2 linked regions of the Daphnia pulex genome follow. The main gene of each other region encodes a partner of the protein of the gene in region 2 in a complex. Links are inferred from orthologs where the notes say so. Each region holds a gene or a part of one and is shown on either strand. Other genes may lie near its edges.

What was found. Proteins that work in one complex are often made in the same cells at the same time.
Region 1: AF4/FMR2 family member lilli-like (region 2) and cyclin-T2-like share a complex: the UniProt entries of both Drosophila melanogaster proteins name them as parts of the super elongation complex. The link is inferred for Daphnia pulex from reciprocal best matches to the Drosophila melanogaster genes lilli and CycT.

Annotation. Positions count from the first base shown.
Region 1 is NC_060024.1:8,843,174-8,846,929, reverse strand, and holds the start of cyclin-T2-like, read right to left. Parts: upstream 2,213-3,756; 5' UTR 1,626-2,212; coding exon 1,474-1,625; intron 1,294-1,473; coding exon 1,083-1,293; intron 1,007-1,082; coding exon 880-1,006; intron 806-879; coding exon 754-805; intron 684-753; coding exon 593-683; intron 519-592; coding exon 227-518; intron 168-226; coding exon 1-167. Other genes in the region: KAT8 regulatory NSL complex subunit 1-like, read right to left, coding at 3,330-3,719. UniProt on the Drosophila melanogaster protein: Regulatory subunit of the cyclin-dependent kinase pair (CDK9/cyclin T) complex, also called positive transcription elongation factor B (P-TEFb), which is proposed to facilitate the transition from abortive to production elongation by phosphorylating the CTD (carboxy-terminal domain) of the large subunit of RNA polymerase II (RNAP II).
Region 2 is NC_060024.1:9,152,885-9,156,284, reverse strand, and holds part of AF4/FMR2 family member lilli-like, read right to left. Parts: coding exon 2,641-3,400; intron 2,505-2,640; coding exon 384-2,504; intron 301-383; coding exon 1-300. UniProt on the Drosophila melanogaster protein: Has a role in transcriptional regulation. Acts in parallel with the Ras/MAPK and the PI3K/PKB pathways in the control of cell identity and cellular growth.

The DNA.
Region 1 (3,756 bases), about 310 kb from region 2:
ACCACCACTCCCCGCACTTTCCGGAGGTCGATTCGAATGTGAAGGAGGATGACCACTGTTCGAAGATGGACGGTGGCCAGCAGGAACGCTGGCCGTCGAACTAGAAGGAGGGACGAGGGCGCCAGTCTTGTCTCTTCTTTGGTCATGTGGCCGAGGAACTCTCTCGCCTGTAACACATGCTCAAATCAAGCATTTATCTCAACCAATTTAACTTTTCAATCGTTACCTGGTTTGGGAGCAGCGCTTCCGCTGCTGCTTCCGGAAGATTCATTCCTGACCTTGTGAGCATCTGGATGGCTTGATGACGCGTCTTTGCTACTACTACCGGATGCACTCTTGTCCGACGATGTCATGGCAGAAGCATTGACTCCAGGTTGTTGCATCACTCGTTTCCGCAGTCTCGACGGGCATTTATTGAAAATCGCCAGAAATTCAACGGTCAATTCGTCCAACATTTCTAACGTCACCGTTTTGTCAACGTACGTAAACCAATCTTTACCCTCGGCACTCTGTGGGATCTACGGTGTTCAATTGTAAGAGTTGTTAACGAGGCAGTTAGATAACATTTTGAATTGTGCAATTTTGTTATTACCTCAAAGTTGAACCATTTGCACACCAGGTGGATGCAAACACAGGCCACTACAGTGGGCTTGTACTGGAGGCACATGGTGGTCAGGTGCAAACTACCACAACATGACACCTCTAGTTACTCCAGGAACAACACAAGTTGGGCATTTACAAAATTATAGTTACCTATTAGTGGCCATGAAGTAGGAGGTCTGAGCCATGTCCTTGCTTGAAGATGCTAAGAAACGAAAGCCAAAGAATGACATTACAGTTAAGCGACTAGGGCTTTTGAGCTTGAGCGAAAAAACCTACCTCTAAATAGATGCTGACAACACTTGAGCACTTGTGTGTGAGGGTGGTCAATGGCGACATCAAAGCCAAGAGTCTGGAGAAGGATATTTTCATTGTTTATCAGCTCTTGAGCTTGTTCAATGTATTGCTGGAAGATAACGTAAACAAAACAATGAATGAATATGATGTTTGAATGTACAATGGTTTGTATGAGAATTTGATACCTCAGAGTTGATGTCCAAGTTTCGCTGATCCTTGTAGAGAATCATGTGTGCAACCCTAATGACATGTTCCAACTTTCTGGGCTGTTCCTCAACTTTGGCGGCTAGGAAGAGAGCACAGGAAGAGATTGGATTTCGATGGAACTTGTTGAAGGAATGGAACATGTAGAACCGGTGCACATAGACGATGGCTGTGTTGATGCACAGTTGTGTCCTAAAAAACAGAGAAACCAGTGTGATTTGACTCCATACCTTTTGTTGCAAGCGATAAATCGATGTCAGAAATGTTCAAGCACGCATCATTATGGTTAAAATCCAAAATACGACCAATGTGTGATAACGTAAGAATGTGTTCGGGGTGCGAAGAGAACAACTTCCGACTTGAAACACTTACACTTGTAATCTTTGACCCATTTCTTGAATTAATGTTGCCGCCTGTTGCCGGTAAAAGATTTCCTTGTCGTAGTCGATGTTGCATCTTCGGGAAGGAGTATTTTGTAATTGTTCTTTTGTAAAAACCCACTTACCCTCCATCGAGGCAGCCATATTTTATACACACTATTTTCTAGACCTCGAAAACGACCGCTATCGGCACCACGCTAAAAGCTTTTCCCGCCAGCCGCTAGAGTCCACCCTTGTCGACGCACTCCTATTAGGTTACTCGGAATGGCGAAACGATGCAAAATAACACTGCACAAACACGTAAACATGATAACTCCAATTCCGCATAGCTCTCCTTGAACTCATTTACCACTCAATTGTGCCAGATGTGTAGGAAAATTGCAGAGTAAGAACTATCGACAGTGCCCTCAAAACGTCCCGCGTATTTTACCCACGTCTTCTGCGATGGCGCTGACTCTGCAGACCGTTACGTACTATACTCTGGGGCTTGAAGGCTACCAAAAAATGATGTAACAGTTGGAGGCTGTCACGCACTATTCGAGGCTATCCGGAAAAGAAAAAGCTCACGTACTCAATGACCCTACCCCCAATTTAATTCGTTTACCCCTTTAAGTGACAGTAGATTTTTATCCTGTCATCTTTTCCAACACTCTACAAAACTGATTTCCGGTACATCCACATTCATGTGGATGCCTTTCATTCACCAATGTCCCTGAAGACTCGGCACACGTTCATTGCCCTCATTTCCAAGAGCCTTCCAAAACTAGACACGTTTTTTCCCATCAAGACAACGTCGCCATACGTCTTTTTTTCTCTCTCTCTTACATAATTTTACGTCGTCTTAAATAAATAAACTTTAAACAGTTCTTTATCTTTTATCTACACTGCGTATGTGTGTGAACATTCTGGGAGAACTGTATTTTTTTTGTTGTAGTTTTTTCAGGAAGAAAAAAAAAACATGAATGCCAAGAGTGGGGAGGAGGAGAAACGAGAGAGAAATAGTATGATATTTATACATTGATGAGGAGACGTGGACCAAGACGGAAAAGAACAGCATGAAAGAAATTCAATCCACATAAGAAGGGGAAAAAAAAAATATGAACTTGGTTAAATATTTATAATCAGTTGTTCGACGGGAGTCGTTTGTCCTCTCCCTGTTCATAATTTCGAACGATATAAAGAGTTGAAACTAAGTGACAAAAGAACCCATGCAGAAAGAGCCCCAGAATTAATTGTTACTCTTTTCTTTCCCGCAATTCGATCCGAAATTCTGTTTTTTTTGTGTTGTTGTTTTTGGAGGAAAAAAAAAGATAATAAAAAGGGGGAGCAGGTGTAAACATGGAAACAGAATTGGATGTGTGACTTTGACAATTATATAGCACGGGAAACAAAAAAAAATAATAATCATAAAAAAAAACACACATTTGGGGGAGGAGTAAACGGATAAAGGTTGCGCCAACAGATCGGTGTGACAAGACAACCAAACATAATCATCCATTTTTTTTGTTTGTTTTTTCAATTCCTTGCGCGACTATTTACAGCAAATATTGTGAATCACGTTACAATGACCTTTTACTTTCTTTCTCTCTCTCATTCTTTCTATGTATAAATTCTATCACACATACTCAGTCTTTTTCTTCCGTGTATGTACTCGAAGAGCTAAAAAAAAAAAAATTAAATCAACCGCCATCTTGTTACTACGATTAAGGAAGTTAACTATTTTTTTGTTTTTGTTTTTGCTTGTTTACGACATACTACGTAGTTCTGTGAAAGAAGGGAATTTATATTGGGGGGGAATTAGCAATTCGCTTCTACGAAATTTGTTGTTTTGGAGAGTGACGATGTTGGTTATCTTTTCTTGCTCCTGGGAGCGCTACCCTGGCTTCCTTCCCATTCGGGATCGTTGGGATCCTCGTCGTCGACGTCCAGATCGTCGGCGCCAGGTGAGCTCGTCGATTCAGAGACAAAAGTAACAGCTTCGTCGTCCACAGAAGACGTCGTGGTCGTCGGTGTGGCTCCTGAAGGTATAACGACCGGCACTCCTCCTCCAACACCGCCGGCAGCAACCCCGCCACATTCCGATGATCGAGCTTCTCGTTTGCCTGCACGTTGGACCGCCCCTTCCGAAGATGCCAACTCATCGTCTTCCTCCGGGGGCATCTCCTCAACCAGCTGCTCGAAAACGCTGTCCGGTAGAGGGAAGAGGCGAGGTTCGTAAGGAGCCACTGTGTAAAACTGCTGATAGGAGAGAAGAAAACAACATTTTAGATAAAAG
Region 2 (3,400 bases):
CAGCACCTTGGAAAACTCTTTGACCTCGTGACGCCGCATTTTGAATAGTTTGAGGTAGAGCAACGCTTGACAGCGAAGCGACAAGATTTGGAGCTTGGCGTCAATGTTGGCCGACTGGGTGCCGGCTTGTGGTTGATGCCGAAATTTGGACGAGATATAGCGGATCAGATTGAGCGTGTCCTTGTACATGGTAAAAGCTGCTTTCTCCGTCATCCGGTCATGCTCCATGGCATTGCCCGTCAGGATAAAAAACAACACTGCTTCCAAATATTGTACTGCTTGGAGGGTCCGGTCCGTTTGCTGTCGAATGACAAAAGAAAACGGCGATATGAGCAAATGACCAATGGAAAATGAGGGGAATCAAGGAAATGATGGAATATTACCTGCTTGTCAGCCGCGTGCTTGAGAGCTTTAGCTTCGCTTAAGAAATGATTATGATCACGATCTTCGTGTTCCAATTGATGTGCTGGTGGTTCCTCAAAATAACTGAAATACACAATGCTGGTTCCCGGCTGCGTTTGTTGTTGGCTGCGCATCATGGGCGGAGGAGCTGGTGATGCATTTCTCGGATCGTAAGGAGACAGACAAGACTTGACATCAACGGACGGAATGTGTGTGGGTGTAGGAACGACCGGAGCGAGAGGGCCAGCCTCGTCCTCCTCCTTTACTTCAACGTCGATTTTCCGCCTACTCTTCTTCTTTTGAGCCTTGCCCGTTTGAGTCTCGATTGATTCCTCCACCTCGTTCTTCCGTTTCCGTTTGCTCTCCTTACGATGTGACGGCGTTTCCACCGGCGGCACGACTGAGACGGACGAAGTTGAACTGATGCTTGATCGACGTTTGGAAGATTTCGACGCCGACAATTCCGCCTCACGTTTAATAGGCACTGGCGTTCGGGTTTTGGTCTCCACAGGTCGCTCCGCATTCTTCTCCTGCGTAGTAGGACGAGCCGCAGGGATAGGAGCAGCAGGAGCAGGAACAGCATTATTAGCCAATTTGCATAGAGGTACTTGGCAGATCAAACTAGGCCGGCCGTTGACGTATGGGACGGATGGGCCAACTTTAGCAGGTGGTGGTGGAGGAGGTGCCGCAACCGCTTTCGGGCTGGCTGTCACCACCTCGCTAGCAACTTTCTTGGGCTCCTGTTTACCTTTGACGCCTCTGCTGCTGTTACTACTGGGAGTTGTCGCTGCCTCGGGAGCGACTGCACGATCCTGCCTTCCTTTAGCTCCGGGACGATAGATTTTCATAAATAAAGCACACTTGCGATCAGAGCTGGGCTTCGAGTCCATGTCCAGTTTGGGTGGACTGAAATCCTTTTGCAATTCTTCCTCTCTCGGTCCTCTCGGTTGGCCCTTGCCACCTCCACTAGGTATTGACCGCCCGCTACTGCTGCTGCTGCTGCTCGAACTGCTGCTAGAGCTGCTGGAACTGCTGCTTCGACTGCTGCTAGAGCTGCTGCTACTCCGGCTCCGGCTGCGAGATGGAAAAAGGACTCGGCTGGTCACCGTTTCCGGTGGAGTCGGCATCTTGACAACGGCGGCCAATTTAGATGGACTTTGAGAGTGGGTATTGGTTTTGCGCGGAGTTGTCGGTGGCGTGACCGTCACAGAAAGGCTGGGCTTCCTCGCCTTCAGAGGTGACGGCGTGTTCTCCACATCCACTTCACTGTTGGATGGCGATGACGAACTGCTCACCGAAGATGTTGTCGTGTCGAGAATTTCACGTGATATCGGTGCCTGCAAGCTACTCGCTTGTTTCTTTGGTGGTCGGCCTGGCCGTTTGGAAACTTCTTTACCAGAAGGAGGTGCGGATGAGTTGACTTGCTTCTTAGGAGGGCGGCCAGGACCTCTCCGTTTGGGAATAGCCTCTGTTGGCGCTGCTGGAGCTGGTGGCGGTGCTGGTGGTGGAGCGGCTACCACTACTGGCTGTCGTGGCCGCACTTCCGGCACCGGGCGCTCATCTTCACTGCTACTACTCTCCGATTCAGATAACCGATTCAAGTTCACTTTGGCAGAATTTTGAGGCTGTTTCACTCTTCGATTGGCGGAGGCTTTGGAAGCAGACGAAGGCAAGTTAGGCCTGGGCGTGACGTGATCCTCCGAGTCGGACATTTCCGACAACAGAGGTTCGGGCACGATCATTTTCGACAAGGCAGAATTGAGGTCCGGCTGCTCGGAGTCACTATCTGAAGTCGCTTTAGCGATGGACGATGTTGCCGCGCTCTTGTCCCCTTTGAAGAGGCCATCGTCCAGTTCAGACGAAGGATTGGGACTGTCAAATCTAAGGCCAGCTGAACTGCCAAAGAAATCGTCGTCGTCATCATCCGGACGACGAAGAGAGTCGCCCAGTGTATCTCTGCGATCCGAGGAGATTTGATCAAGGCCTGATTGAGAGACGTCCGAACCTCTAGTAGCGCCCTCAAATATACTGCTGGGTGGATTGATTGGCAGAAACGACTTTAGACTCCAACTTGGAGTATTGGCCGGCTGCTGTTGCTGCTGCTGGATAAGGAAAAGAAAAATATGTAAATAAAACATGTGGCATCCTGCTAGATCAATATCGATCTTGTTGGTTGATCGGTCGGTGGGTCACGCAATGGCAAAGTTCCTGGTCACCGCATTATAAAACCTGTTTTACCTGTTTAGGAGGAGATGCAGGCGGAGGTTTCGTCTCCGGCTCCAAGTGCTCAGCGTCAGAGCTGGAATCCGAGCTGGAACCGTCCGATTCTGAGCTAGAATCATCTTCTGAGTCATCAGCCTCACTAGCAGCGGCTGTAGCAAGACCAGAAGGTGGCGAACGAGGCCTTGGCGGACTGTTCATCGGTTCCATGGGACTGGAAGGCAGTGGGCTAAGAACTGGGGCAGTAGAGGTGGTGGCGGCGGCCGAGATCTTGATGGAGGATTCCGACTCAGAGTCCTGGTCGCTGTCTGAGATGCTTAAATCATCCATCAGCCCGCTGTTGGAAGGCATCCGCTTCGGAGGTGGATGAGGATGACCGAAATCAAAGTGCTCCACTTCCTTCCGCGGAGTGGCAGCGATGGCCGTTAGCGGCGTCATAGCTGCCGATTTCATCTCTTTGAGGATGTCGTGGATATCTGGATGACCAATCCTTTCCGGTGTTGAGGATGGAGGGAGAGGATTGATGAAGTTCAACTTTGGTGGTTGAGGCCGCATGTTGTTAGTTGGCTGACGCTGCCTCTGCGATGAGGAGGTAGACATGGACGAGGATGATGACGATGAGGACGAAGACGAAGATGATGACGACGACGACGATGATGATGCACCGCTGTGATATCCTCCACCAGGCCCTGGTCCGGGAGCCTTGTGTAGACCCGTACTATTACTACTACTGCTGCTGGATCGGCTCGGCGGAGCCGAATTCCTTTGAGGAGCGATA